Linked DNA regions of Canis lupus familiaris. The protein of the gene in region 3 interacts with the protein of the main gene of each other region in a biochemical or structural test. Links are inferred from orthologs where the notes say so. Each region holds a gene or a part of one and is shown on either strand. Other genes may lie near its edges. The genes, in order: TRIM24, CDC34, PPARG, CDK5, nuclear receptor subfamily 0 group B member 1, NCOA4 and KAT5.

What was found.
Region 1: the proteins of PPARG (region 3) and TRIM24 interact in a test that uses a peptide from one of them, tested with the Homo sapiens proteins (2 studies listed by BioGRID). The link is inferred for Canis lupus familiaris from reciprocal best matches to the Homo sapiens genes PPARG and TRIM24.
Region 2: the proteins of PPARG (region 3) and CDC34 form a complex in vitro, tested with the Homo sapiens proteins (2 studies listed by BioGRID). The link is inferred for Canis lupus familiaris from reciprocal best matches to the Homo sapiens genes PPARG and CDC34.
Region 4: of the proteins of PPARG (region 3) and CDK5, one has a biochemical effect on the other in vitro, tested with the Homo sapiens proteins (3 studies listed by BioGRID, with this or other methods). The link is inferred for Canis lupus familiaris from reciprocal best matches to the Homo sapiens genes PPARG and CDK5.
Region 5: the proteins of PPARG (region 3) and nuclear receptor subfamily 0 group B member 1 form a complex in vitro, tested with the Homo sapiens proteins (2 studies listed by BioGRID, with this or other methods). The link is inferred for Canis lupus familiaris from reciprocal best matches to the Homo sapiens genes PPARG and NR0B1.
Region 6: the proteins of PPARG (region 3) and NCOA4 form a complex in vitro, tested with the Homo sapiens proteins (2 studies listed by BioGRID, with this or other methods). The link is inferred for Canis lupus familiaris from reciprocal best matches to the Homo sapiens genes PPARG and NCOA4.
Region 7: the proteins of PPARG (region 3) and KAT5 form a complex in vitro, tested with the Homo sapiens proteins (2 studies listed by BioGRID, with this or other methods). The link is inferred for Canis lupus familiaris from reciprocal best matches to the Homo sapiens genes PPARG and KAT5.

Annotation. Positions count from the first base shown.
Region 1 is NC_049237.1:9,918,676-9,923,422, forward strand, and holds the start of TRIM24 (transcription intermediary factor 1-alpha), read right to left. Parts: upstream 2,874-4,747; coding exon 2,504-2,873; intron 1-2,503. UniProt on the Homo sapiens protein: Transcriptional coactivator that interacts with numerous nuclear receptors and coactivators and modulates the transcription of target genes.
Region 2 is NC_049241.1:58,444,598-58,449,065, forward strand, and holds the start of CDC34 (ubiquitin-conjugating enzyme E2 R1), read right to left. Parts: upstream 3,057-4,468; 5' UTR 3,035-3,056; coding exon 2,858-3,034; intron 673-2,857; coding exon 586-672; intron 481-585; coding exon 383-480; intron 1-382. UniProt on the Homo sapiens protein: E2 ubiquitin-conjugating enzyme that accepts ubiquitin from an E1 ubiquitin-activating protein, and catalyzes its covalent attachment to other proteins by an E3 ubiquitin-protein ligase complex. In vitro catalyzes 'Lys-48'-linked polyubiquitination.
Region 3 is NC_049241.1:6,222,608-6,226,613, forward strand, and holds part of PPARG (peroxisome proliferator-activated receptor gamma), read right to left. Parts: intron 3,446-4,006; coding exon 2,995-3,445; intron 1-2,994. UniProt on the Homo sapiens protein: Nuclear receptor that binds peroxisome proliferators such as hypolipidemic drugs and fatty acids.
Region 4 is NC_049237.1:15,833,068-15,837,576, forward strand, and holds the start of CDK5 (cyclin-dependent-like kinase 5), read right to left. Parts: upstream 3,151-4,509; 5' UTR 3,046-3,150; coding exon 3,009-3,045; intron 2,333-3,008; coding exon 2,244-2,332; intron 2,152-2,243; coding exon 2,084-2,151; intron 1,925-2,083; coding exon 1,864-1,924; intron 1,765-1,863; coding exon 1,708-1,764; intron 1,032-1,707; coding exon 936-1,031; intron 833-935; coding exon 758-832; intron 610-757; coding exon 513-609; intron 324-512; coding exon 254-323; intron 1-253. UniProt on the Homo sapiens protein: Proline-directed serine/threonine-protein kinase essential for neuronal cell cycle arrest and differentiation and may be involved in apoptotic cell death in neuronal diseases by triggering abortive cell cycle re-entry. Interacts with D1 and D3-type G1 cyclins.
Region 5 is NC_049260.1:25,562,478-25,567,065, forward strand, and holds the start of nuclear receptor subfamily 0 group B member 1, read right to left. Parts: upstream 3,132-4,588; 5' UTR 3,117-3,131; coding exon 1,946-3,116; intron 1-1,945. UniProt on the Homo sapiens protein: Nuclear receptor that lacks a DNA-binding domain and acts as a corepressor that inhibits the transcriptional activity of other nuclear receptors through heterodimeric interactions.
Region 6 is NC_049249.1:1,945,120-1,949,125, forward strand, and holds the end of NCOA4 (nuclear receptor coactivator 4), read right to left. Parts: intron 3,546-4,006; coding exon 2,529-3,545; intron 2,151-2,528; coding exon 2,010-2,150; intron 1,622-2,009; coding exon 1,616-1,621; 3' UTR 29-1,615; downstream 1-28. UniProt on the Homo sapiens protein: Cargo receptor for the autophagic turnover of the iron-binding ferritin complex, playing a central role in iron homeostasis. Acts as an adapter for delivery of ferritin to lysosomes and autophagic degradation of ferritin, a process named ferritinophagy.
Region 7 is NC_049239.1:52,000,649-52,003,804, forward strand, and holds the end of KAT5 (histone acetyltransferase KAT5), read right to left. Parts: intron 2,924-3,156; exon of another isoform or gene 1,964-2,923; coding exon of another isoform or gene 1,853-1,963; intron 1,691-1,852; coding exon 1,531-1,690; intron 1,407-1,530; coding exon 1,325-1,406; intron 1,234-1,324; coding exon 1,099-1,233; 3' UTR 691-1,098; downstream 1-690. Other genes in the region: RNASEH2C (ribonuclease H2 subunit C), read left to right, coding at 63-182, 1,853-1,963. UniProt on the Homo sapiens protein: Catalytic subunit of the NuA4 histone acetyltransferase complex, a multiprotein complex involved in transcriptional activation of select genes principally by acetylation of nucleosomal histones H2A and H4.

The DNA.
Region 1 (4,747 bases), on a different chromosome or scaffold from region 3:
GGGAGCCTGCTTCTCCCTCTGCCTGTGTCTCTGCCTCTCTGTTTCTCTCATGAATAAATAAATAAAATCTTAAAAAAAAAAAAATACTGGCCCTCTCTTCTCTTACATGACAATCTGCAAGAGCTGAGTTTGCTGCCCGCCTCCCTTTCACTCCTCACTTTCCTTATTATTTTACCCCCAAGCTCATAGTTCTCCAACTCAGATAACTAGCTTAGCTCCTGTAGGTATTATATAGTTTGATCCATGATGACTGTACCCACAAGTTCATTAGGAGAATGAAGAACAGAGATGGTGAAATGAACCCTATTTATTTATGAAATGTGCTGGCTAAAGTTTTATCTCAGCTAGTATTAGAGTAAGTTCACAAGGAGAGGGACGAAGAACATTCAAGTTAATAAGATTCAGGATAGGTAGTATTTTTAATTTATAGAAAATGACCCTCTTTTTTAACAGTGTATTTAAAGAATCATTTGTTAGAGACCATTACCTTCCAATTTATATGCTTTCTTGAACTCTTGCTGGTAATACAAACACCAAGATAAAATATATTTAGACTAGAATCGCATTGAACATTTTGAGAAATCTGGAACTTAAAACCTGTCTCAGAGTTTAGTTTCAGAGCATTTATTCCCCCTGTTCTCATTCATTCCGGTCTGAATATCATGGCCAGGCACACGATAAACCTTAATTCTAGAATTACGCAAAATTCAGATCCTGATTGGCTACTAGCCTATTTAACCAATTAAAATGCAAATAAAAGAGACCTTAGACTGTGTCTAAACATTAAGAACTAGGATTTGTTTCACCTGTACTGAATTTCCAACAGGTGGGCCACATGAGAGAAAACAAGAGTGAAAGATCAGAGACTTCAGCCTATTTGCAAGCTAGCTTACCATGGTAGAAGGCAGACTCATGGGTGAGAGACCAGGGACGTTTATTAGCTACTCACAATAATAACGTAGGCCAAAGCTAACATAAACCGAAGCATCGACATTTTTGCTCTCCTTCCCGGAACCCCAGTTCCCACCAGGCAAGGTCAAAGGGCCAGCTGACACCTGCACAGGCAATGGATTGTGTTACACCAGAGGAAACCTAAGCTTAGAGCACCCCAATCTTGTATCGTGGGTACTAAGCATGCCTGTCTTTAACTCCAGTGGACATCACACTGGACCACACGCACGCCTGCTCTTTGCTCTGGTGGAAGACACAATCTCTATCTTCCAAGGCTGATCCTTATACAAACATCTTTCAAAAACAGAAACAAAGGGCAGTCACAGTACCTCCCTGGCACGACCTGCAGAAACTGAGAGACCGCTGGAAAACTGGCTCCCTAGGCCAGATACTGTTCCAAACACAGAATCAAATGCAGAGTCTAACACTACTGTCTGTCTATAGCACCGATTTCATATACCCCTTAACATAGGCTCAATTACTTAATTAGCATTTTATCTCAAACTTAATCAACCAGACCCTCTGAAAGTATACATCAAAACGAATCATCAAAAAAAAAAAGAATCATTCCCTTTCTAATTACTTTCTATTTTTAAAAAGGAGGTAGGTGCTCCCGAATCCGCAAAGTCGCAATTTACAATCCTCATTCTCCTAGGATGCTTACTGCGCTTACTCTGACTCACTTTTTAAAGGTCTCAAACCTGTTAACGCTCGCAATGGGAACGACCTGTCGAAAGTCTCATTACCCAGTAACAAATGCACCACCAAAGAGAACAGCAACGTCCTCATTACCCAGCTGTCGTCTACAAAATACAAGAAAACCCTGCGGGCCGCCCGCCCCCCCCCCCCCAAAAAAAATCACTCCCTTCTATTTCTCTTTACCCTTTACCGTTGCGAAAGAAAACCTTCCAATGCAAACACACACACACACACAACCACATACCGTCTCTCTGGGTCCCTCCGTCCCGGCAGAAGGGAGAGAAATCGGGGAGACGCGTCAAAGAAGCCGAAACATACGTGCAGGACAGAAAACAGCATCCGGATCTGCCACGCGTCTCCCCGAAGAAAAGTCCCCGTCGCTTCGTCTTCACCCACCGCCCACCACCCCCGGCTCAAATGACGTGGGTCCGAACCGGGTGATGAGGGCCGCACCGACCGGGACAAAGCTCCGGGGGAGGCAGAGGGCAGAGCAGTGAGCCGGACGCAGCGGGCCAAGCAGCCGAGCGACGCGGCGCAGCCCGCTCCAGCCCAGGTTTCCAGAGTGCGGGGCGCGCTCCTCCAGCCCCGGAGGAGAACGCGGAGCCGCCGCCGCCAAGCCCTCGGCGCCCGGGGAAGTGGCTCGCGGGGCGCGCGGCCGCCGCCGCCGACGCGGACCCTCCTCCTCGCCCCTCCCCCGCCGCGCACCCCCGGCGGCGGCGACGTGACAGCGGGTCGCGCCGCACCCGGGCGCCCGCCTCCTGCCCCGGAGGGGGGCCGCTCCTCAGGCTCCTCGGGCGCCCCGGGCGCCCCGGGCTCCCCTCCCCCCCGCGCGCCCACCTCGGCCGCCTCTCACCTTGGGTGGCGAACGGCGAGGAGCCGCTGACCGGCGAGCCGGGGGCGGGGACGGGCGGCGGGGTCTCGGCCGAGCCCAGCATGGGCGCGGGCAGCATGAGGTAGCGCTGGGGCGCGGGCAGGCAGCGCTGGCAGAAGGAGTGCAGGCAGGGCAGCAGCTTGGGCGCCCGGCTCTGGATGTTCTGGTGGCACACGGCGCAAGTGTCCAACAGGTTGAGCCGGGCCGCCTCGCCTCCCCGCTCCGAGTCGGGGCCCTGCCGACTCTCGGCCTCGTTCTCCCCGCTCGGCGCCGCCAGGGGCCCCCCGGCGGCCGCCGCCGACGCCGCCGAAGCCGCCGCCGCCGTCGCCGCCTTCTCCACAGCCACCTCCATTGTCCTGCCCCCGCCGCCGCCGCCGCCGCCGAAGGGGGAGCACGGTCCCCGCCTGCCGCCGCCCCCGACGACCTCCTCCTCCGCCTCCTCCTCCGCCTCCTCCTCCTCCTCACAGGCCGTTAGGATGACCCGCGGGAGACGGAGGGCCGGAGGGCGGGCCGGGCCGAGGAAGCCTCCTCAGGCCCCGGGGATCCGCCTCCCGGGTGGCGCGGCCGGAAGAAGGGGATCTGTCAGCGGGAACCGTTCCTCGCACCGGGAAGGCTGCGCCCCGTCCGCTTCGCCAACCGCCTCGGCGCTCGTCGAAGGCGCCCAGCCCGCCCTCGCCTCCCCGCCTTTCTGTCCGGGCCCCCCCGCCCTACCCCGCCAGCGCCGGCCCACCTCAGCCTCAGGCCCCGCCCTCCCGCTCCCGGCAACTGAGGCCCCGGCGAGGAGCGCGCCGCCCAATCGCCGCCGCGCCTGGCCAGGGGGCGGGGCCTGCCCAAGCCCGCGAGGCTCCGCCGGCCGCGGCGGGAGGCTGGGAGGTGGGAAGGCGCTTGCCCAGCCCCGCCCCCGCCCCAGCCGCGGCCTCTGATTGGGCCTTGCTGTGCGTGGCGCTCCTCTAGGAAGATCAAGGGATCGTTTGTTAATGACGGACGGACTAATTGGGTCCGCCTGCGTTAGCCCCGCCCACGGGGGGCGGAGCTCCGCCGCCGGGCGCGCAGCGCGGCTAATTAAGTAACTTGCTTGCAGAAGTCTCGGTTTCCTGCTGAGGATCCGGGTCCCCGCAGGTGGGGTGAATACGGCGGGAGGGTCAAAGGATGACCAAGTGGATGGAGACTGTGAAGAGCGAGCAAGCGAGGAATTTTATAGGTGGAGAAACGTGTGGATGGGACGTCGTGGGGGCAGCGTGGGCTTGCCGCCTGAGTTCGCGCCTCGCTCCCGTGAGTGATGGGACCTGATGCGGAAGGACGGATGTTCTCTTGCGCCTTGGAAGTGTTTAAAGAATTCCACCACCACCCCCAGTGAAAAAAAAAGGTGAAATCGATTTCTAAGTCGGCGATTTGCTTTTTAAATGAGGAGAGATAGTTCTGTCTCCGAGACACTAATAGGTTAAGATTGTCAGAAAGTGTTCTTTATTGCATAAATAGGACAACAGTTGGAAAAACAAGTGAATTGTCAGGCCTTACGGATGTCCAAGTAATTCCTTCAATGACTTTTTTCATCCCCCACCCCGCCCCCACCTTCATCCCACCCCCTACCCCCCCTCGCAAGGTGCACATGCTTCCAGGTAGAAGGTACACACGTGTTTTTTGGTCAGGTTTGATCTGGTTGGTAGTGAAATGAAACAGAGGCCCAGCAAAGGTAGGTGGAGGCAAGCTTTTAATGGGATGCGCTCTCAGGCAAGGCAGCGCAGCCGGGGAAGTCGCGCCCAAAGGGAGTACCTGCGAGCTTTTTTTTTTTTTTTTTTAAGATTTTATTTATTTATTCATGAGAGAGAGAGGCGCAGAGACACAGGCAGAAGCAGGCTCCACGCACGGAGCGCGACATGGGACTCCATCCCCGGTCTTCAGGATCATGCCCGGGGTCTCCAGGATCACTGACCCACCCCCTGGGTCTCCAGGATCATACCCTGGGGTCTCCAGGATCATGCCTGGGGTCTCCAGGATCACGCCCTGCGGAAGGCAGCGCTAAACTACTGAGCCACCGGGGCTGGCACAGGCGAGCTTTTAAAGGGGAGGGGTAAGAGGCTGTGTCCCAATGGGGTGATAGGTATTAGGGCCTGTTACTGGTGGAATGGTATGGGGCGATAACTGCTTATGCCCTATATGGGGGTTTGGATAAGGTGTGGCTCCTGTTTCCTGCATAGGTCCTGTTTTCCAGTAAGGATGTGTCCT
Region 2 (4,468 bases), about 52 Mb from region 3:
CGGGCCACTCAGTGAGCGGCTCAGCCCTGAGACACAGGGGACTGGGCTCCGTGGGGGACGGAGGGAGGAGACCCCCCCGGGGAAAGGTGGAGGGACCGAGGGAGCCAGAGCGGACTCGAGATTCCCAGCGACTGTTCCTGATGGTGGACGGGCCAGGGGGCTTCAAGAAATGAGGACAGGCCTGCGAGCTGGCCCAGGGGTCTTTGGGGCCCCCCGCATCCCGGCGGGAGGCCAGCCAGGGCAGATTGGACGGTACTGCAGGGAGTCGTGGCCCTGTCCTCCCGCGTCCGCGCCCCAGGGCTGGCCGGGCCTGAGGGAGCCCCACAGGGGCAGGGGTCCATCTGCTGAGCAGCCCCTCACACAGGGCCCGGTCCACTCTCACCTGACGTTCTGGGTGGGGTTCCACCGCTCTGAGGGCAGCTCCCCACTCTGGGGGTCATCGACTGGGGGGTGGAGAATGGAGATGCACACGTCCCCCGTCTGTGGGTACAGGACGGAGGGATCAGGGCCCACACCGCTCACCACTCGGCAGGCAGCGCAGCGTGTCCCCCGACAGGGAGGCTGCAGGGCACGCGGCGGACTCACCTCGTAGATGTTGGGGTGCCACATCTTGGTCAGGAACCGGAAAGCCGGCGGGGAGTAGGGATAGTCGATGGGGAACTTGAGGCGTGCCTGGGAGGGCAGAGCGCAGGAGCTCAGCCAGTGCCGCCCACGGCCCCCAGCCCAGGGCCGCAGACCAGGGTGTGAGCTGGGACAGACGCGCCCGCCCGGAGGCCGCCTGGACCCTGCCTGCCGCACGCACCGCCCGCAGGCCCCAGGACTACTCAGGGTCCCCCGAGCCGATCCGGGCCCCACCCCGCGGCTGGGAGCAGGTCTCAGGCCGTGCTCAGTCCAGGCCTGTGGGAGGGACGCGCAGCCAGGCCCCAGGGAGCGCGGCGGGCTCGGGCCGGCACATGGCTCCGGCTGGCAGGGCCCTGGGAGCTGTGCACCCCCGCACGGTGGTGGACTCCTCGGCCTCAGTTTCCAGGTTGTGGGGAAGATTAAAATAGACGTGTGTTCACTCAGCAATCACTCCCGACACCTCTGTGGGCCGGGCCCTGTGGGAGGAGATGAGTCAGCGCTGGACAGACGGGCTCTCTGCCCACAAGTGTCCATCACGGGGGGGCCAGGAAGGCAGACAGGAAGGTCACGGGGCAGACTGGGGAGGGCCACCTGCCCAGGTGACACACTGCTCAGGCCTCAGCAGGTAAAGAAGCCGTGTTGGCTTGTTTGAGCCCCAGGCCCAGACGTGGGGAGGCCTGGCCCCGGATCCTGGCGGAGCTCCAGGCCGGCAGGGGCGAGCCAGCGAGCTGGGAGACAAAGCTGGGCACGTGTGCGGCAACTCCCCCAGGCCCGAATTTGGAAAGTCTCCTTCCTGGGCAGGGGGCACTCGGGGCATTTGGGGGAAGTCCCTCTGCTCTGGGGTGACCATGCTGAGGCCCAGGAGGCAGGCAGCTGGCTGGCGACTGCAGAGCACTCCTGGAACTCAGAACCTGCCCTAAGAGTTTCCAGTGATGGCCCTCGGGGGCGGGGCGGGGGGGCTCCCTGGCACCAAGCACCCACCGAATCGAGCATCCCCCGGGGAGACCGCACCACTGAGCAAGCTCAGGCTCAGAGAAGGAAAGTCCCCTACTGAGGACGCCCGGCGATAAGCCGGGAGGAGGCCTCTGAACTGCCTGTCTCTGGCACCCCGTCTGGTCACGGAGGCTCGGGAGGCCGGGCTGGCCGCAGGGCGCTGGGGGAAGTGGCTGGAAGTGACGGTGGTACTTCCCTGCGCTTCCCCAGCTCCGCTCCCGCCCGTCGCACCTGCACGAGGACCACACTGGGTGTGGGGCCCAGGCCGGCCTCCTGCAGACAGGGCCTGTGGCATCTGGAAATCTGGCCGTGGCCCAGCTCCAGTCCCTTCTTCTCAAGTGGGATGACCCCTCCCCCCCAAAGCCATCCTGGAGGATCTACCCACAATCCCTTGCAACCAGTTAACCGGCAAAAATCAGAAGCCCAAAGCCTGTGCCCTTTCCCTCCAGCTCTGCAGCCTCACCCAGGGGCTCGGCCTGCCTGAGCGTCCCGGCTGCGAGAGCCGTCGCCCTTGCAGCCCGAAGCAGACACAGGAGGCTGGCGAGGGCCCTAGATGCGCTACTAGGTGGCCAACCCCAAATCCGTGCCCTGCGTGCCAGCGGGGGCCGGGCTCCCCGGCCATGCAGAAGCTAGCCCAGGGCTGTCCACGCTCACGCCCCCTCGTCCCACTGCAGCACCACGGTGGGGTGCTCGCAACTCGGGAGTCGCCCCAGCTGACCAGGCTGCTCCCTCACGCCCGCGGCCGAGCAGGCTCAGCTAAAACATCAGCTGAAAGTGCAAACACAGACATGTGCCCCGGGAGCAGCGGCCGCCCCTCCCCCACCGCCTGGCTTCTGCTCCCCACCCTGCCCGGGGCAGAGCCTGGCAGGGCCTGGCAGGGCCTGGCGGGGCCTGGCGGGGCCTGGCGGGGCGCGCAGGCTCCCGAGCAGGGAGGGTCCTGGGCCGGCCTGGGCCGAGGGCTCGCTCCCCACCGCTCGGCAGCGAGACCCCTTGGCCCGCGCCTCTGGCTCGCGTGCACGGCCCGGCCCTGCAACCTGAGAAGCGTCCTCCGGCCCGACCGGGCTCCGGCGGCGAGGTCAGGAGGGCCGCCCGGGGCCTGGCTCCAGTCCTTTGTCACACCAGGGAAACGCGGCCAAGGCCGGGCGCGGCGGCCCTCCCGGCTCCAGGCAGCGCGGCGGGACGGCTCGGGGACCCCGCGGCCGGCGGGGGGCGCAGCGGGGCGAGCGGGGGCGCCGCGGCTCACCTTGAAGTAGCCGCCCTCGTAGTAGGTGTTGGGCGGCCCGAAGATGGCCACCTCCCAGTTGTACAGGTCGCCCTCGTCCACCAGGGTCACCCGGAAGCCCTCCACCGGCTCCTCCTGCAGCCCCTTGAGCTCCAGCAGCAGCGCCTTCTGCGAGCTGGGCACCAGCGGCCGGGCCATGGCGGCGGCGGCGGGGCCCGGGGTCGGGGGCGCGCGGGGCCGCGGGGCCGCCGCGGGGGCGCGGGACGGGCCGGGCCGCGCGCCGGCCGGGGGGACGCCGGGGCCGCCGCCGCCGCCTTCCTCCTCCTCCTCCTCGCCGCCGCCGCCGCCGCCCGGGACCCCGGGACGCTCCACTCGCTCTGGCGCCGCCGCCCGCCCGGCGCTCGCCTCCGCCTGGCCCGCGCGCCCCGCCCCGCGCTGCGCGTGCGCGCCGCCTCCGGCCCCCCGACCGCGCCTGCGCGCCGCGGCGGGGCCCGCACTGAGCCTGCGCGCCCGCCCGCGGGGCACGCCGGGAAGTGGAGTCCCCGCCCCCGGCCCGCCGAGCGCGCAGGCGCGACCGCCGGGAGGGACCGGGGGGGGGGGGGAGGCCAAGCGCGCAGGCGCCTGGGCGCTTCCGACCCCCGGGAGGCCGCCGCCGCCGCCCGCCGCTCGGACGAGCACCCCGGACGTCTGTGCGCGGGGAGGCGGGCAGGGCTGGGCTGCGCCGGCCCGGCACGCGCCGCGGGGCTTTTGGGGTCTTTTCTATGACGTCCCAGCGCGGGGCGGGGCCGGGGCGGGGTCGCCTGGCCCGGGCGGGGCGGAGCAGGTGGCTTCGCGGAAGGGGAGGAGCGGAGGGCGGGGCCTCAGTTTCCCTTCGGGGGAGCGGAGCGCGGGGCCGAGCTGGGGGCGGGGTTAGTCCCCACCGCGCCGGGCGCACACCTGGACGCACACCTGGACGCACACCTGGACGCACACCTGGCCCCGGCCTCCATCCTCCACGCCCTCAGGGACCCAGAGGGTGGGCGTGGCGCTGTGCCCGCAGCCTCGCTGGCAGGTGTCCGGCAGGCCCCAGACCAGCACCTGTGCTGCGAGCCCCTCCTCCAGGTGCCCCAACACCTGCCCCCCCGCCCCCCGCTGCCGTCGCCCAGGTGAGGACACACAGGGAGCCTTGTCTGGCGCGAGGGAAGCAGCATTTCATCTAGAGGAGAGGGACAGGGGACCGGAGGAAGAGCCCCGGGCCCGGCAGCGGCTTCCGGCGGCTGCCCCAAGGCGGGGACCCTGACGTTCCCATCCGCAGAGTGGGCAGCCGCTGCCCCGCACCCCGGGCCACCTGGCTCCGTGCCCCTGGCCAGGGGTTCCCTGGCCCTCGTTCTGTGCCCGCGGCGCCCACGTCAGCAGCGGCATGGGGCAGCTTGCCAGTAAATAGTAATTAGAAGTAATCACGATTCTTGCAAATCCAGATCCCAGGATCTCCCGACGGAAGCCCCGCTCCCCCACGAAGCATGGGTGGGGGGGCTGGTTCTGCAGATGTAAAGGGACGTACTGGTTTGGGGCCGCTCCAGCAGGTGCCACGAGGGGCGTCACACACACACACACACACACACACACCCAGGGACGCCGGCTCCCGGCTCTGAG
Region 3 (4,006 bases):
AATTTTCATAATTAAAAAAACCAAAGCCTGCAATCAACTTACTGTTATTTTTTGACAAATTAATGAAAAATTTAAAGCCTAATAAATTGCTGGTTTTTAAATAACCTGGCTTATGAGTTATAGGCCATAATGGCTGTTTTCCTAGATGAAAACACCCTGTTGTCTCACAGGCCCATAAAACAACATTGCTTGCTGGGGCGCCTGGGTAGCTCAATTGGTTAAGTGGCCAACTCTTGATTTCAGCTCAGGTCATGATCTCAAGGTCCTAGGATAGAGTCCCAAATAGGGCTCTGTGCTCAGTGGGGAGTCTGCTTCAGGATTCTCTCTCTCCCCCTCTCCCTCTGCCCCTCCCCCTGCTTGCACACACATACTCTCTAAAATAAATAAATCCTAAAAAGCAAAACAAAACAAAACAAAACAAACCCAAAATTTGTTCAAAAAAGTCCAGAATTATCATGACTGTTTCTTGTGTAAACCTGCCCTGGCTAGCAACTAATCATCTTCGAATAGCTTATTTCAAATGTTTCCTTTAGTATATCTGTGGTGGGAATATAAACTCATAAATGTTGTGGTGAACAATGTGGCAATGATGTAACAAAATATTTATAATCATCTACCCAGCAATTCCACTTCTGGTACTTTAGAATGAGAAAATAATTTGGAATTTCAACAGAAATTTACACTTAATAATGTTCACTAAAACAAAAATTTAGAACACATTTTTGATATTTTCTATGTTCTTGTTGATAGGTTTTTAAATTAGCAATCCTAAGTAAAGAGATTGGGCAGCCCTGGTGGTGCAGCGGTTTAGCGCTGCCTGCAGCCTGGGGTGTGATCCTGGGGACCTGGGATCGAGTCTCACGTCGGGCTCCCTGAGTGGAGCCTGCTTCTCCCTCTGCCCGTGTCTCTGCCTCTCTCTCTCTCTCTCTCTCTCATGAATAAATAAATAAAATCTTAAAAAAAATAAGTAAAGAGATTATTTGGTATATAATGGTCCTTTTTAAAATGGAATATTTTATAGTCATTAAAATGGTAGTGTGTATACATATATATGCTAGCACATGGACAGAAACTTTTCAGGAGGAGGAATAGGACTTTGTTAATCTTATTTTATTCTGAGGACAGAGGCCTTTAATTTTCACTCACACTTTTCTGTACCCTTTGAATTATGAAATGACCACGTATTACTTTTATTTTCAAAAATTAATGAAAAATATTAACAAAGAGTACATAATGACGTGGGGAAAATGACTGAATATAAACATGGAATATATGGTATGCTCAGGAAAAAACTTAGAAACATATCAACTGTTAATATTTCTATTTTGCATTAAAAATAAAATGTGCCTAAAAAAAATAAAATGTGCCTCAAATTATTAGCTAAGCAATAACAACCTGTTTTCTCATCTAGTGCTTCAAAATTTAAGTTTCTTCTCCTAATGCACCTCAAATAAACTAGAATCTTATTCTTCTTTGCTGAATTGATCATGGATCCCAGAGGATCGAGGGGTGATCTGTTTAAGTAGATTCAGTTAAGGTATTACAACATGTTGGACAGTAGTTTTTGTTACATTAAATATAACCCCCCAAACACCATTTTTAAAGGAGTTACAACTTGACACTGCAGTGGAGGCTCCAGAGTTAACCTGGGCTGCACTGTCATCTATTTGCACCCAAGTTACCTAAAGGGCAGTATTACTGTAGACTCTGGAGCCAGACTACCGGAGTTCAGAATCCTGGTTCTATCCTGTGTTAGCTGCGTAGCCCTGGGCAAGTGACTGAACCTTTCAGGGCTCTGGCTTCCTCCTTTGCAAAACGTACTTTTCTTGCTGGGCTGGAGAATTAAGTGAACGTGTATCATGTGCTTAGGATACTGCTTAGAAGACAGTAGGTATTTAAGTGTTTTCTATCATTATTATTAGTAGTAATCAGGCACCCGATTTCAGAAGTATTCTGCTCTCAAGTAATTGGACAACAAAGGAGGACAGAGTACACCATGTTCTTTATAATATCTTATATAGTTTACAGTTTACATCTATAGGACCACCATCCCTCCCCACGTCAGCTTTTGCCAAGAGTATCCTCTGTCTGTAGAGTACACACAAAAAGCTCACCTGAAGTCCATTTCAGTAATGAAAACTCATTGCTTAAAGACAATTTTATACAGAGACATGACAGTAAAACTTTCTACATAAGCTGGAAATGTGTGGAGTAGCCAATGAAAGTAGCATTTAGTATAAAACCTGGCTTTGGAGTTGTCAGTTAGATCATGTACTTGCAAGGCCAAAAATACAATGAATTGCTAAATAACTCAATTTATTTCTCTGCTCTGTGCTCTCTGGTTCAGATTATATTTTTAATCACAGCCAACCACCTCACAAAGTTACTTTAAGGGAAGCCATCAGATAAATCTACCTGAGGGAATAGGTGGAAGTCAGTAGATAAATATTACTCGATTCCTGATATTAGGAAAGCAATTCAAAGTAATATCTTCCTGATGGTAGAGCAGGAACAAAATCTGCCCCAAACCACTTAGTTGTGCTCTCTCTATGCCAAGTGAGCACTGTGACTTAAGCAAAGTTGTACATGTCATTACTTAAATGAAATGAAGAATAGATTGGCTGGAAGGGAAGGAAGGGATGGGAAGGAAAGGGAAGGAGAAGGGAGAGTGAACAGAGAGAAGGGGAGGGGTGGGAAAAGACAGGGGAAAAGAAAATAAAAAGGAAAAAAAAAAAGGAGAAAAAAGAAGAAGAGGGCATTTGTTTTTCATGTTTGGATTTGACTGGAAAGGCTGGGGTTGCCCACAGCCTTCCAACAGCAAATCTATGATCTTCTCTCCTGGTACTTTACCTGTGTAGTGATGCTCTCATGGCATCATGCCACTGGCATATTTTTGCATGAAAGTGCAGTACAGAGAAAAGGATGTCAAAATTCTTCCAATTATCATACTGCTGTCCCACCCTCTTCCACGAAAGATCAAAAGATGCATCTTACCTCCACTGAGAATAATGACGGCTATAAATATTGCCAAGTCGCTGTCATCTAATTCCAGTGCATTGAACTTCACAGCAAACTCAAACTTTGGCTCCATGAAGTCACCAAAGGGCTTTCTCAGGCTCTTTAGAAACTCCCTTGTCATGAATCCTTGGCCTTCTGATATGAGAACCCCGTCTTTATTCATCAAGGACGCCAGCATCGTGTAAATGATCTCATGGACACCATATTTTAGCAGAGTTACTTGGTCATTCAAGTCAAGGTTTACAAAACCAGGGATACTTTTGGCGTACTCTGTGATCTCCTGCACGGCTTCCACTGAGCGGAACTGACACCCCTGAAAGATGCGAATGGCCACCTCTTTGCTCTGCTCCTGCAAGGGGGTGATGTGTTTGAACTTGATTTTATCTTCTCCCATCATTAAGGAATTCATGTCATAGATAACAAATGGCTGCAAAAAAAAAAAAAAAAAGGGAAGTGGCTGAGTTGGAGATCTCTAATTCAGGGTGAATCCCATTCCAGTTTCTTTATACACATTTGCTTCGCTAACTAAAATCTTTAAGGTTGAAGATACTTAATGAGAAAGTACTCTCATCTCCTGATTATTGCTCCTAATTGTCTTCTGGAACCAAACATATTTTACCAAGCTTGGTCTTCTTTTCTTTCAACTTATACTGCAACATTTTACTTATGTATGACTGGCTAATAATTCCAGTTTTGGTTGTTTGGAGAAACTTTGTTGCTGACTTGTAAAAATCATACAAAATCTGTTGTTTATCTTGGCTTTCAAGAGAGTGTGTTTTTAACCTTCTTTCAATAAAAAAAAAAAATCATTTCGGCAACTCAGGGTTGAACACACCCACTTGAACATAAAGTAATCTTACAGTTTTAGATTAAATCTACTCAGATCTCAAATGAAACGCAGTGTGCCTGTAAAATATACTTAACTATAAAAATTCAGTTTGAAAGCAGATGAGAAATATTGAGCCAAGAAAATGTCTATTTCTTTTCT
Region 4 (4,509 bases), on a different chromosome or scaffold from region 3:
CTCTGCCCTCCATCCCCTGGCCCAGAGTCATGCCCTATTCTGGCCCACCCATTGCCATCCCCACTCCCTGCACTTCATGGGCTCCTAACTCCCCTCCCTGTTTTTTTAAAGTAAACTCTACACAGCCCAACGTGGGGCTCAAACTCATGACCCTGGAGATCAAGAGTCACATGCTCTACCGACTGCGCCAGCCAGGTGCCCCTCCTTCCTCCCCTTCAGAGAGCTCAAAGTGAAGGGAAACATCGAAGGATATCGGAAGATCCTCTTCAATTGGTCATCTACGTCGTTGCCGGGGAAAAGAGGCCGCCCTGCGTTGGCCAGCTCTGCGAGATGGAGCAGGGTGTGAGGAGGGGACATGTGAAGAACCCCTCATTCCATGGCACCCTCTGTGCTTTTCGTCCTCCTCCCCAAGGGCCTTACTCCCTTCCCCAGAGGAGACACTTCAGACCCTACTGAGGGTCCACTCGAGTGGGAGAGAAAGTAAGTGCCTCTGTAGACCCCCAGCCAGTCACCTGCGAAGATGCAGCCAGCTGACCACATGTCGATGGATGTGGAGTACAGCTTGGCCCCGAAGAGGACATCTGGTGGGCGGTACCACAGCGTGACCACCTGGAGAAGAACCCACCCCCCGCGACCCCCACTTAGAGGACTGTGAAGGAGGGGAAAATCATGTTTGGGGTCCTGGAGGAGATGAAAGATGCTCGGAGAGGACCCCCTCCCTCGGCCCCATGTCCTACACACAGACCCACCAGCTCACCTCGGCTGAGTAACAGCGAACAGGGATCCCAAAGGCTCGAGCCAAGCCAAAATCAGCCAACTTCAGCTCCCCATTCTGAAGGGAGATAGGAAGAGACATGGAGAGGGCTTTTCAACAGTCTCAGGGCAGGTCCCCTGCCTCGGCCTCCCCACTCCCCCACCTTCTCCCTGGAAGGTACCCTGTTTATTAGCAGGTTCTGGGGCTTCAGGTCTCTATGCAGCACGTTGCGACTGTGACAGAATCCCAGGCCTTTCAGCAGCTGAAAGAGGAATGACTGTGGGGGGAGGGAGGTGTAGGGTAGGGCGTTAGATCTTATGGATGGGACGCTGTACCCAGGGGTGGGCCACACGCCCCTCTTCACCCTCTGCTTTGCCTCAAAACCCCACCTGTCCTTCAGCGACATCATTCATTCACTGTGGAGGACTGGCTTTGTAATGTGCTAGGTATTAACATAGGAACAGTGCATGAAAGCCTTGGTCCGACTCTTTCTGGAACTTACAGCCTGATCTGTCCCCTATCTGGCCTCATGTAAGCACATGCTTCGTAGCCATCAGTATCTATACTGTGTTATGTTATTAATCAGGACTGCTGCCCCTGGAACCCGGGACAAGGCACTTGGCCTTGGGCCTAAAACAGTGCCTGGCACATGGCAAAGCACCCAACAGGTATTTGGTGAACAAACGAGTGGATGAATCTCTTTGAATCTCATTTTCTCATCCCTCAAGTGCAGATTACATCACTGATACCGGAGTGTTACTGTCAGATCAAAGAGATCATGGGAAGATGCTTGCAAGGAGGGAGGCCTGTGGAGGGCAGCAACAGGGTTTTCTCATTCCCTGAAGCTCCAGGGTGTCTCCACTCCGGGCCTGAACCTGGTGCTCAGAGGGTGCGCAGACCGCAGACAGACTCCCGTCCTGCCTCCCTGAGTCTCCGGGACACCAGCCCCTCACCTTCACAATTTCAGGATCCAGGTCACCATTACAGCTGTCAAAATACTTCTTAAGGTCCTAGAAAAAGGTGGGGTTGGGGGAGGGGCCAGAGTTTAACCTCAGTTGGGGCCCCTACACCCTCCCAAGGCCACACTGTCTCCCAAGTCCCCCTTTCACCTGGTCACAGAACTCAAAAACCAAAGTCAGCTTCTTGTCACTATGCAGGACGTCATGAAGCCTAGGGAGGAGGAAGGGCTCAGCCAGGCAGGTCTGCAAATTTCAGCTTCACGTCCCTATTATCAGCCCAACCCTGATCCCAGTATCAGCCCAGCCCTCTCTGAAGCCCCCCTCCTCCAACTGATCACACAGGCCAGGAGGACCCTGCCCATCTACACACCTGACGATGTTCTTGTGCTTCAGCTCTTTGAGTAGGCAGATTTCCCGAAGGGCTGAGCTCGGCACTCCCTACACATGGGAGGGGGCCGGGCGGGCAACAGTCACATCCCACCCAACCTGGGCCCTCAACCCCCACCCTGGCCCTGATGTTCCAGTCCTACCTCATCATCGTCATCCAGCCTCACCCGTTTCAGAGCCACGATCTCATGGGTCTCCCGGTTTTTGGCCTTGAATACTGTCCCGTAGGTGCCTAGAGGAAGAAGGTCAGGGGTGAGGGTAAAGATGGGACACCCTTCCCACCCCCATGAAGTCCCCCTGGGGAATTCAGGCAGCGTGGGAGGGTGCTATTTGTGAAGACTGGAGGAGTAGGGGGAGAGACTCAGGTGAAGGTTCAGCATGGAGGAGCTTTGTAAGTGAGGATGGGGCAGAGAAGGTGCCTGCAGATGGCTCACGGGTGTCTGCAGCAGGGAGAGGCTGCAGCTGCCAGGGTTAGGAGGTCTGTAATAAAGGCGGTGCTTCCGGAGGGTCTGGAAATAGCGAACAGGTCTGGGAGGAAAGTGAGGGGCGGCAGAAATGAGGCCGGAGGTCTGCATTGAGAACTAAGCTGGGGTTGGGGATTGGGGGGCCGGCGTGGGTGGGTGAGGCTCTGCGGGTGGTGCTGAGGCTAGGGCTAGGAGACGCAGGAAGTGCTAATGTCCGCAGGTGGGTCTCCAGGAAGTGCTAAGGTTGGGAAGGGGCGACTGCGGGAAATGCTAACGAAAAGGATGGGTGTCTGCAAGGAGTGTTGAGAGCTCGGGGCCAAGGCTGCAGCCAGTGCTGAAGTCGGAGCCTGTGGGTATTGCTGACGGTAGAGAAGCCAGGGTTCCAAGGAATGCTGAAGGGTCTGTAGAGGAAGATCTTGCAGGAACATCTCGTAGTCCCATTACCTTCCCCAATCTTCTCGAGTTTCTCGTATTTCTGCATCGCGGCAGCCGCGGGGACCCCTACGGGCCCTGGGTTCTAAGACTTCGGCCCCGGCGTTGCAGAGGAGGCGGCACCCCAGCCTCCGGCCCTGCCCCGCCCTCCTGACTGTGCATGGGCTTCTGGGGCGTGTAGTACTAAGGGTAGCCAGGTTTGCCGGCGATGTGCGCGGCATTAGACCACGAGAAGACTACAACTCCCAGCAGGCTGCTCAAGGGCTCTCTGCAGCACTCGCTTCCCGGGACTCCGGATCGACCGCGGAGGAAAACCTTGGACTTCAAGTCCCAGGAAGCATCGCGTGTCCGCTTTCCGGGCCTCACCGCCGAAGCGCCAAGGCTCCCAGTGTGCCTCGCTCTTGTTATTCCTTTCTGTGATCACTACCTTTTTTTGAAAAGGGCCTCTCTGGGACTACGCATTCCAGAACGCAGAGGGTGGGGGTGGGGCGCTCTCTGGGTTTGGGGTTTGGCGGCCTGCGTCCTGGGCCGGAAGGGGAGCGCTCTGGCCCGGCTGATGGTGTTGAGGTTCTAGCGACCTCCTGACAACGGCAATACGGACTCCCACCTCTCCCCAGGCCATCTGGAGACCTCAGGATTGATTGGGCAATGGCTCCGAGCCATGCCTTGACGATGACTTCACAGGGACCAGCTGAACCAAGGGGCTGGGAAGAGAGGCAGGTGTGCCCCGGGATTTAACCTACGCCAGAGACCCCTTCCTGCCCTCTGTTTGTCGTCTCGGAGCCCACCTGCCTCCAGCCGCTCGCTACACTGTGACTTCCCGAGGCAAGCTGGCTGGAGCCCTGGGAGACCCTTGGTACCGGCCTGGAGAGCCCGGGCCCACCGGAGGCAGCCAGGGTGTGGCCGAGAGCTGGCAGGTTGGCTGCCGCCCTCGACAGACAGAAGCACAGACAGATGCTACACTTGCAGCAGCCTTGACCTCATCCTTTAAGGAGTTGATTATAGATTTTCCTGCGCTCCTCTCTAATTGTCTCATGATTGCATTCTTGAGGGCTGTGAACTGGATAGAAACGGCCCCAAACAGCACTGCTCAGCACCAGAACCATAGTTGGTGATAAACATTTGTTAATTAACTTGTTTATATCGGAACGTTTTCTGCATATACACAATGCTGTGCTTCACCTACTGGCAGGCTAAAAAATAAAAAAGTATACTTCTTATGTGGAAGAATTTATAATTTAGTTGAGAAAACTAGAAATACAGAAATCTTGAGTGGCAGGGGATGATTATAATAGGGCTCGAGGGGGGAGGTCGCCGCAGGGAATCACTCTGAGGCAGAAGTTCCCGGGTTCGGAAAGTCTAGGTCAGCTGAGGGCAATGGGAATCCAACCTCCAGGAGCCGTCACCCCTATCGCCATCCCCCTCCCGCCCCCACCGCAGCAAAGAAAGGGCCTTTCTTGGAGGCACTGGGGATTACAGGGGAGTAGCGGGGGGTGGTTGGGGGAGAATCTCG
Region 5 (4,588 bases), on a different chromosome or scaffold from region 3:
CTGTGAAGCTCCTCTAGGTCTGGATTCATGGCTCCTTAAAACTTGAGTGAACTCCTCAGTTTCCGAGTCACTTTCCTCTGCTTTCCTACTATACTCTCCTTTTTTCACTGCACCCCCACCACCTCCTTGCAAAAGGTATGCCCATAAAGTAAATTCAGGAAAGAGAAAATGTGGACAGATGGACTCCACAATTTAAAAAAGTGTTTAAACATAAAGATCAGAGGATTCACAACAAAAGGATAAACATCTAAGAAAAGGCACACACTTAGCAGGTGCATTTGTGTTGAAAACACACTTAGCTTAGCTGATTAAAGTCACAGTGAGAGGATTCAGAGAACTAGATAGAATAAGGGAGGTGTGTGTGTGTGTGTGTGTGTGTGTGTGTGAGAGAGAGAGAGAGAGAGAGAGAGAATGACCAGAGTATGCTAAACAGGGTGGAGGGAAAGAGGGAAACTAGTGGAATGTAAAGTTCAAGAAGCTGAGCCCCTGCCTTTCTTTTATATTCCAACAGAGCTAGGCACATGGTAGATGTTTAAGAACACTGGCTGAAAAAAAAAAAAAAAGAACACTGGCTGAAGAATGATCTGAAGAACCATCTTGGGCACTTACTACAAATGCGGATTTGCAGACCCTGGACCACAGCTACCAAATCAGAACCTCCAAGGGAGGAGCCTGGTAAGACTTTGAAAAAGTGCCCCCCTCCCCTTATGCACAGCCAAGTTTGGAAAACAACAATATAAGCAAAAGGTGACTTACTGTGATCCCTGGGATGAGCTGTGGTCTCTAGGTCTTGAAATGTGAGTTCTGAATGAAATATTATCCTATTAGATACTGCTCTGTGCCCTTTCACAAAATGCTAGGCAGGAGCATAACCAGAGACTCCTGGTGTTAGGGAGGGAAAAGGTGTGGAGGGAGCATTATACAAACTATCCCAACTCAAGCTGCCTGGAAACTTTGTGACCACTTGTGACCCTTTTGGAGGGATTCTGGTCAAAGACAGCTCTAGTAATGGCACATACTCAAGAAAAGGTGCTGGGTAGCCCATGGAGATGTTCTCTCATGATGTGGTTGGTGTGTGGGGGGCAGTGTCCAGCACCTAACAGACAACTTGAAAGTGTGTGCAGCAGACATCCCATGGGGGCTGGGAGATCCATGTTCCACGACTCACTGGCCATTACTGTGGAGTAAAGTCACTTGGGACTAGGTTACCTAATCTGCAAATGGGATGGAGTCAGGGTGAAGGGCAGAGGGGCCTGATGAGGAGGTCCCTAGGGTCTCTGCAAGTTCTAAAAGACAGTGCTCCTGCTGGCAGTCCCTAGTGTTTTTTCCCTGCCCCCTTAGTACCCTGATACGGACACACTGAGGAGGACATAGTCCAGCTGCTTAGGACCATAAACGTGATCATTCAGAAGCAGTCCCATGAAAGGCAAGTCCAGCGTCCTGCATGACAGTGTCCCTGGGAGACACTCCAGGACTCCTTAACAAAGCTTTCCTTTCTTAGGAGCCTGAATAGATTTCCTTTCACAAAAAGTTGTAGTTCACCTCAGAACTGGGTTTCAGAAAGACATGTGGCAGGATTTGCAGTGAACACAAAGTTGTGCGCTTTTTTTTTTTATAGCTACACTACTGGATTTAAAAGACTAGAGGAGGACCAGCCCTGTGCCTTGATGGCACCAACTTTTCCTTAGTAACAGAGGGGGGAGAGAGATAAGTACTAAACTCCATCACCCAATCCCCCTGCTCTCTGTTTTGCGTCTGACAGCAGCCCACCCACGAGGAGTGCTTTCTGGAGTTCCCCCAACTCTGCTGAGTTACTCGAGATTCTTCGCTGGTTCCCCGACCCTCCCCTGACCACCGAAAACTCTTAAGTGCCTGTGCCTCGGCCAGCCGTTGCCCGGAGTTTTTCTGAACGGAGGAAAGCCCGCGCCCGAGGTCTCGCACTTACCCGGGTTAAAGAGCACGGTCCCCTTGAGGTAGGCGTACTCCTTGGTACTGATGTCCAGGCTCCAGCACTTGGCAAGGAAGCACTTGATGGCTTGGACTTCAGCGGCCGTTGGCAAACGCCCGGCCTCGCGCGGCGGTACCAAGGGGGGCGGCTGCGGGGTCGGAGGCGGCGGCTCGTCGCCCGCGGTCTCCCGCCGCCTGGTGGTGAGGATCCTCTGCAGCAGGCTGGGCTCCGAGGTCTCTACCGTCTCAAAGTTCAAGCGGTCCTGGGCCAGCTCGAGCAGGAGCAGCGGCGCCCAGCTGTTGCGCACCAGCACCAGCTGCTGGTCCAGAGGGAGCACCTGGAAGCAGGGTAAGTACTTGACAAAGCGCAGCGTCTTCAACAGGCCTGCCGAGGCGGCCTCGCAGACCACCTGTGGACTCTTGAGGGCCACTCGGCGCTGCGCGTCACACCGGGGGTCCCACCAGGGGGCCGCGGGCTGCATCTCCCGAGCCGCGTGCGTCTGCTTGGCGCTCGCGGGCAAGCGGTGGAAGATGCTGCCGGGGCGCGGGTGCTCGTCCCCGCAAAAGCAGCAGCGGGACAGGTACGCCACGGCCTGCCGGCCCGGCAGCTGCTCTCTGCCCCCCGGGCCCTGGGCGCTGTAAGAGCGGCCCCACCACGCGCCCCCAGGCCGCACCTCGGGCGTTTCCGGCGCCACGTGCGTCTGCTTGGCGCTGGTGAGCAAGCTGTAGAGGATGCTGCCCTGGCGCGGGTGCTCTTCCCCGCAGAAGCAGCAGCGGTACAGGAGCACCGTGGTCCGCGCCCCCGGCAGCGCCCCTCGGCCCGCCGCGGGCTCCGCGCCGCACGAGCAGCCCCAGCACGCGCCCCCCAGCCGCGCCTCGGGCGCCTCCGCAGCCGCGCGCGTCTGCTTGGCGCTCGTGAGCATGTTGTAGAGGATGCTGCCCTGGCGCGGGTGCTCTTCCCCGCAGAAGCAGCAGCGGTACAGGAGCGCCGTGGTCCGCGCCCCCGGCAGCGCCCCTCGGCCCGCCGCGGGCTCCGCGCCGCACGAGCAGCCCCAGCACGCGCCCCCCAGCCGCGCCTCGGGCGCCACCGGGGCCGCGTGCGTCTGCTTGGCGCTCATGAGCATGTTGTAGAGGATGCTGCCCTGCCACTGGTGGTCCTCGCCTGCCATGGCCCGCGGTGCCCGGAACCCGACTCTGTCCGGGTGGCGGCCGCCTGGGATCTATTTATACCAAGCGCGCACGCACGCGCGTCGGCCGTCTCCGCCAGGGCAAGGGCGCGGAGGGGGGCGCGGGCGCTGTGCTCGGGAGTGTTCGCCCTTGACCTCAGCGGTTAAAAAGGGGCAGATGCTCCTTAAAGGCTGAGAATGAAGGGGGGGCGGAGGCATGGGAGCTTCTGGACACTCCGTTCCTCTCGTTCCACCCTTCCCTGCCTCTGGAAGGCAGAGCGCAGAGGAGGTAGCAGATAATCCGGGGGCAGGGTTCCAACTCTTTTCACTGAAACCAGGCATCTCGTTTGCTCCCTTTATTGGAGGGGCAGGCGCGCCTCATTAAACGGGGACCATCTATTTCTATGCCATCGTTGAATACTTTCATTAAGTGCTCAAACTTTCTATGACTTATGTTTTCCATATGGATGGGGAAGTCTCGTTTTCAGGGAACTTGAAAAGTAAAGACCACGGACCAGCGATAAGAGCATTGCGTGGTAACTTGCTAGAAATGCCCCACCTCGGTCTCCAGCCAGACCTTCTGACTCTGAATCTGCATTTTAATGAGGTTCCCGGGGCGGGAGGGGAGTGGGGGTTGCATGCCCTTTACATTTTGAAAAGCGCTGCTTTAAGGATGCAGTCATAAGCGTTTTGTTTGATTCAGTTGATATTCATGAACACCCACTTTATGTATTAAAGAGCAAGAGTGACCAGGATGTAAAAGGGGCTAATATTTGGGGGTTATAATAATCGCAGGTGCTAAAAGGTTACTTCAGTGAGAACTTTGGGTTCTTCTAAAAAGTATTGCCTTGGGTAGTCGTGTAATTAATGTTTCTTCTCACACCCCTCCTACCTCAATAATGAGAAACACGGGTTTCAGGAAGCCTGGCTCCTTTGTTTTTTTTTTTTTTTTTTTTTCTTTTTCTTTTTTTAAAAGATTTTATTTATTTATTCATGAGAGAGAGAGAGAGAGAGAGAGAGAGAGAGGCAGAGGGAGAAGCAGGCTCCCTACAAGAAACCCAATGTGGGACTCGATCCCAGATCCTGGGATCACTCCCTGGGCTAAAGGCAGATGCTCAACTGCTGAGCCACCCAGGCGTCCCAAGCCTGGCTCCTTTGATCCTCACTGGCCACACAGCCTCCTTCCCTGAGTTCTATACAGGCGCTGAGATCAGTGGGTCTTTCCACATCACCACCTGCCCCCGTTGTGTAACTGTTTCACCAACCAGCTGCTTAACTTCAAACTCACAACCCTTTAGTTTTCAGATTCCTCATCTCTAAAATGGGAGGTTTGTTTAGTGATTTCACGGGTCCGGGGCTGAAGACTAATGTGTACCAGTTGCCATAGGATCATCTTTCTCCTTTTGTAGTTTCTCTGGGGCCTGGAATTCTGAGCATAAGAGGAATACCTAGGAGACACTGATTTGCATTCAACC
Region 6 (4,006 bases), on a different chromosome or scaffold from region 3:
TGTGGTAGAACAGTCTGTGATAAGGCAGTTTTACAGATACACACAACTATGCCTGTTTGTGCTTTTAATGAAGGGAGGTACAAAATGCTTCAACACAAAAGAATGTTTTACATACTTATTAGCATGATGATGAATATAAAATTAGGAACACATCATTAAACTTCAAAACTACAAAGTTTCCTGCAACATAAGATAATGGAAAAGGCTCCTTAAATTTTTACCTGCCACCTTTATTATTAAAGTTCTAAGTGGTATTGGGGGAGGAGCGACGACCAAAAAATAGGTTCTTTTCAGCTGTGTTCAAGAAGTCAAATGAAGCTGTATGGCAAGGACTGTAGGACTCTGAAGTTTCTCCAAAAGGGCTTTTAGATGACCACATCACAAACTTCAAAAGTAACAGGAAAGCTGAATTTAAAACTTGTCTGAAAGCCCAGAAAGCAGCTAAGATATCTCACCTTTGAGAAGTTAAAAACATTATAAATCGCATTTCCTACAGAGATACTTTTTAAAGCATGGACGGGACTTTTAAGGATACTGGTAAAACATCAAAGTTTTCATAAAGCTTCAGTAAACACCCCAAGGCACAAGTGTTCAAAACAGCCTATTCACTAAAATGTCACTGCATTCTGAAACTTCCAAAGGTATAGGTACATTATGCTTGCAGTGAGAACATTTCATTTATTCCTAATTAAAAGCACCAGGTGTCAGACTCAGCTTCCCTTTACACAGGATGCACCAATAACCCTTAGGATAGCTAACAGTTCAAATACTACGTTTCCAACATGTCTTGCCTTTCGCTCTTTGATTGATTACTCAGCAGGAGGGCTCTTTTACCTGTGTTCAGAATATTATGAAAGTGGCTAGGACTACCCTGGATATAATCTTGAAACAATACGGAGCTCTTCTAAAAGCTCATTAGCTACTTCAATAACATTTAGATAACAGACCAAATTTGCAGTAGCTGAATCTCTTTCAAAAGAAGAAAAATAATGTAGAATCTAACATGTAAGTTAAAATGTTTTGTATAATCAATGTCAAAAATTGCCAAGATTGTTAATACATGTTGTGGTAAGAAAAAAAAATCACTATGTTGGCAAGGTTAACTATTTGTGTGAAATACACTAAACAGAAGAATCATTATTTCCACCACCAATGGAAGAAAACCCACAGCACGGGGAGCATCTAAAGGAGGACAATCAAAAGATTAGAGAAGCTTACTAGCTTTCAAATATATCAACACACTTTGATTACAGAACTATTTCATTTTTAAAACTACAGTGTTTTAATGTACTTCTAGTAACAATTCAATCTAAGGAGCTGTAGAGGCTTATGAAAAAGACCTATCCACCAAGATGCTGTTTGTTTCTAGTGTAGGGCTGAGTTAATACTTTTGTAGAAAGGAACTGAAATCACCTCAGCATCAACAGTCTTTTTCTTTTATGCAGTAACTTATAATTCGATGACTTATTTCTCTTCACTAGCTCAACTAGGCAGGAAAGGAACTAAGCTGACTGGTCAGACCCAGAAACACAATGATTTGGCAAGCTGCACAGTCACTCGGCCCATGGATATGGGATAATTTGCAGAAAAGTTGCTTGACTTGGGTTCCATTGCTTCACATCTGTAAAGAAACGTCCACAGATTAGAGTCCCTTCACTATAGGATAAAAGCAAATCTTCCCCGCCTTAAAGCTCAGACTTGTTTCTCAAGCTAATAGAATCCACAACAGGCTCTGAAAATTCCCGATAGTTATATCATCTTAAAAGGTCACTTTCAAGTATGTCCTAGTTATTTTATAAAGCAAGTTCAAGTGAAAATACCTGAAACTGTTACGATCCCCCAGCCATCATCACTTGCCTAGCACACACACCATTAACAGGACTATAGTTCAGTAAGCCAAGTGTGAATTCATATAGAAGACAAAACATTAAAAAAAAAAAAAAAAAAATTGACAAGCAGCTAAAATCTTTTTTTTTTTTTTTTTTTTTACACTAGAGACATGTACGCACCTGTAGAGGAGTTCGATACAACCACTTTTCTTTGTCTACTTTAAGCTGCATACAGGCAAAGAGGTCACAAACTGCTGGGAGGCCATAACGGTCTTGGGGAAAGTTACATTCCTCCTGTAGTGGTGAATTAAGTAATACTTCCTGCAAGAAGACAAAAGCGGTGGGTTGCTACATGACAACTGGGAGGCAAGACACCAACTTAACTCATCTGCCCAACAGTGTAGTGTCTCTAAAGAATGTGTACATGTTGGCCATTCTCTCAAATAAGCAAGAGAAAAGGTAAAATTGTTTATTAATCTTTCCCCAAAACAACCACTAAAACTGAGGTGTTGTTTTTCTTTCCTGCAGGATGGGGCCTGAAAGCCTGGAAAATGTACAAAAATTTCAGTCTGAATCAGATGTTCCAGCAAGATTAATATGCCAAATAACATTTAACATATTTCAGGATCTGGCCCATCTGCAAGATTTGGGATTAAGAAAGTATCTATCTACTAAGTATAGTTCAGATTCTGTGCTCACCTTGGCCTTCTTTCGAAGTAGCCACTTGTCTTCTCCTGAGGATAATTGGCTGAGGTTTCCTATCTGCTTTCCTGGCAAGACCCAGTCAGCTGTATTAAAAGGATGGCAGAAAGTGGCCACTGGGTTCATAGGCTTTTGCTTGCTAGCTCTGTCTTCAGTACCAAGCATTTCCTTGGGACAACCTTCTTTGCATGAGGGTGTGATGAGCCACTCTGACAAAGGGCTGTTCCTTATGACTTGGAAGGAATCCGCAATTCTAGAAGGAGCCACTGCCTTTGACATCTTAGCTTGTTGTGCTGCCTCTTTTCTGGAAGGACAGAGCCACACACTCAGGGAATCTATACACTTCTCAGACTCAGGATTTGGTTCCACAGGCATACCATTTTTGTCTTTTCCTTCTTTCTTCAGAAGCCATTTACACAGAGCTTCCTTCTCACAGTTCTCATCACACACACACTCTGCAAAGCTCGTACAGGGCTCATTGGCTTTGCACACCTCCTCCACTTTATATGGGTCCTGATGATTCTGGACAAGCCAATCCTCATTAATCATGCTGGGAATGGACGAGGGTTTCTTGGCCTCTAAGTGGTCGTTCAGGCACTTCAGATTGCCCAGGTTTTCAATCTCCACACCCTTGGGCTGGTTGCCCCGACAATTGGTACAGGAATCGGGCTTGACAAGCCAATCATTCACACTGTATGGCTCCTGGAACACCTGCAACAGGAGCTTAAACTTCCCACTGGTTTCACAGCTGCCATTCCCAGGCTTCTCCAGCTTATGGGATTCCTGAGGAGTCACCAGCCAATCAGAAAGGTCCATCTCGTCCTGCTCAAGAAGGTCCAGATCTCCAATCTTTTCAATTTCAACAGAGTATGAACTGGTAGTAGAATGGCTGTTACACTTCTGGTAAGTTGGTTTTTCGGGAACCTCTTGTTGCTGACTCTGGTGGAGCCAGTTTTCTAAGCCCTTTAGGTTGCCCCAGACTTTACCGAAGAAATTGCAGGCTCTGGCAGAAGTCTACACAAGAAGTATGCAGTATTAGTCCATAGAACATTATGGCTGCTTTGGGGTTCAATGATAAGAGTTCATTTATTTACACTCCCTAGAATTTCTAAATTTAAGTATATAAAGCCAAGGAAAGGATTTCTCTGTTGGGATATTAAAATATGTATTGAATAACAAATTTCTGCAGTTTTAAAAAAACTTAAAAATACTAAAGACAAACTAAGAGAAAGCTTTTGTAGCCTATCTGATAGAAAAGAGGCTGGTAGTTCTACATAATCAGCCTTCACAAATAAAGACAAAAATGAACAAAGGATATGATTAGGCAAGTCATCCAAGAAGGCTAATTAACCTAAAAAATATTCAACCTCCATAATCAAACTTCAAAACAAAAGTAAAATTGTTCTTTGTATCAAATTCAGAGGAAAAAAGGAACTTATAAATGATTGCCACTATTTGAGAAGTTTCAGGGAAAG
Region 7 (3,156 bases), on a different chromosome or scaffold from region 3:
GGGCTGGAGAGTGGTGCGGGCGGCAGCGGTGGCCCTCATGCTGAGCCGGGCCCCTTCCTCAGGACCAGTTTATCGGAGCCATCGCCAGTTTCAGCCGCTTCACGCTATGGGGTCTGGAGACCATTCCTGGTCCGGACGCCAAAGTGCGCGGGGCCCTAACCTGGCCCAGTCTGGCCGCAGCGGTGAGTAGGGGGATGGGACCTCACTCTTCAGGCCCCATCCATTCCCTTGTGCCTTCAAGGGTATTCCCTGGACTGTCCAGAATCTTGTCCGAGTGGACTTGGGGCTTCAGGGCCGGGGAGTACAATGGGGTACAAGGAGCCTGGGTCTGACTGGATTAGACTGGTCAGGGGCAGGGGCGCTTCCCTACCTCTGACTGGTCTAGAAGGGGTTGTCATTCTGAGTAGCTGGGTCACTCCCAGAGTATGTGGGCCACCCAGTGTGTGTCAAAAACCCAATAGTAGAGGTGACTCCTGTTGCAGATTCACGCACAGGTGCCTGAAGACTGAGAGCCGGAACTTGAAATTGAAAGCCACTGGTTCCTTCACCCCAATAAACCAGCTCTTCATTTTGGAACCACTGATTCCATCACCCCAATAAACAAGCTCTTCACAGCACCTGCGAGTTTGTGGGCACCTTGGAGTCTTCTAAGCTGGCACTACCCCTTCTCCCACAAGAAACTTTCATGGCTCAGTCTATAGAAATGATTTATTGCCAAGGAGCAGTGAGGGCAAGAGGCCAGAATTTTGCTGCCAGTACCCACCCCTCCTCCCAACTCCTTACAAAAGAAATTTTTACAGCCACTAGCCCTCTGTACAGAGTGCACCCACCCCCCATCTCACTGTACATAGCTGCTTGGCTCCGTCCAGTCCCTGCTTCATAGCAGGCCCAGACCTGCAGCCAGTTGACCTTGGAGTTGACCTGAGCCCTGAGCTCGCCTTGGTGCTGGGCAGCTAGCCCCTACCAGGCCTGTCCTCTCCTTATGAAGCTGTCCTCAGCCCCACCTCCCTTGGTGTGCCTCTTGGGGGCCCTGGTGGGGGTGGGATGTGCTGTCAGCCCCAGTTCTGCTTTGTTGCCACTGCTATAGACAGTGCCTGGTCACCATTTTCCCCTCTTGCTCCAGTCCTTGGGAGTGAAGTGCAAACACTTGGAGTCGATTCGAAGGAGCCGCTTGAGCATAGCTCTTTCATGCCCATCCACGATGTCCTCAGACAGTGTGAGGATATACTGGCCCTGGATGGGAGATAGGACCGGAAGGGTCAGCCCATGTGGGGTGCACACTCTGCAGCCCTACACACACGTCTCCCCCTGCCTGCCTCCCTACCTTGTAGTAGTTGATGAGATTGAGGTACTGTAGAGTAGAAATGACATCTTCCTTCTTGATGCTGGTGATTTCACTGATCTCGCTGTGGGAGGACAAGGATCAGGTCCTCTGGAGGCCTTCCTCTCTGCCCCAAGCCCCCAGGAGCCCCAGGAATGAGGATGGGCCATGCCATGCACCCCCAGGGTCAGAGGTAGGGCCAGGCTCACTTGATGGTGATCTGTGGCCTCTCCCCGCTCTCTGACTTCAGCCCCATCAGGATCTCCAGGATGGTCTGGGACCAGTAGCTTCGGTAGGATAGGAGGCCAAGGTCTGAGAGGGGCTTCTCAGGGGTCCCCGTTTTCCCTTCCACTTTGGAGAGTTCATAGCCTACAGCAAGGCAGCAAGAAGGGGTGGGTAAGCGATCACACCTTCATGCAACTTTCAGAATATGGTTACAGGAGTAAACTGCCTGGTTCCCATCTCACCCTTGCCATGTGGTAGTTCTGTGACCTGACATACGTAGCTAGTCTGCTGTGTCTGTTTCCCCAGAGAGCTAATGAGCATTCACTCTTCATCTCTGTGCTGTGGAGGGTACTGAAAGGAACAGCTATAATCCACCTGGAGAAAAACTCAGGAACCAGGGAAGTGCAGAGAAAATGACAAGAAAGGCAAGTGCCTGATTTTCATCATTCCAGACCATATCTCCTGGGTATGTGAGAAGGGAAGGCAGCCCCCACGTGTGGTCTGGGCCTCAGGATGTCTGGATTTGCAGTCAAGTCAGTCCCCCTAGCTGTGACCTGGGGAGCATTGGCTGCTCCAGGACCAGGCTGGCCTGACTAGGTGTTGATAAGAAGCAAGGAGAGGCACTAATGTACTTCCCAGGTCAGAAGGCGGCCATTCCACAGCAGGTAACTCACCTCTCCAGAGGCACTCTCCGACTGCTCTGTCCTCCTCTACCCTGCTGATTACTGGGCACTAGCAGGCAGTTCCTAGGGAGCCCCTCAGGCTGTGCAAAATCCTATATGGCTTCGTGTCTCTTGGCAGAGTCTTCATTCTCTCCCTCAGGGTCCTGGGGTGTCCTTCATTACCTCTATAAGCCCTTCTTCACCCTCAGTCACAGCTATGTAGGCTCACAGCCCTTTTTGCCTACCCCTCCCAATCTTTATCAGCTAGTCTTGCCCAATCTTCTGTGACTTCCACCAAGCAGCCTGCTGGGGAGAGGGACAGAAAAGCTCCTGCTTTAGAGAAAGGAAGCCTGGAAGAGGAAGGGAGCACACCTGGGTCCCTACTTGACTTTGCTGGGCCTGCCAGTGCATGTGGGATCCTGCCACATCAGCCTCCCCAGCTGCAAGGAGCTCCTGGCCCCTCCCCAGTGAACATCCACCTGCCCTCAAGAACTGCCCGGAATGGGCACTCCCAGTGCACCTGTCTGCTCCTGCTGGGCAGAAGTGAGCACATCACATTGGTGTCCTTGCCCACATCCTATCTCCATGGAGGTCTGAGCTTCAAGGCTTGGATTCATTTTAAGTATCCGCCCACATATCAGGCTGAGGGCTTCCTGAGAATGTGACCCCATCTTGGCATCATTCTATTAATAAAATAACTCAAATGGATCATGACCTTATCAAGTCAAGCCACTGTGACTTCACCAAACAGCTAAGGCTCCCTCCTGTCTCTCAGGTCAGAACTTAACTATCCCAAGGGTTCAGTGAGTGGTGAGTTGAGTGGAGTGATGTAAGATGCTGGGAAGCAAAAGGGGGCCTTGCGGGTGGGGGACATAGAAGAGTTCACGGATGATGAGGGGCAGAGTCCCTTGTGGGCTTTAAGAGACTGACCTGCCTGAATCCAAGGAG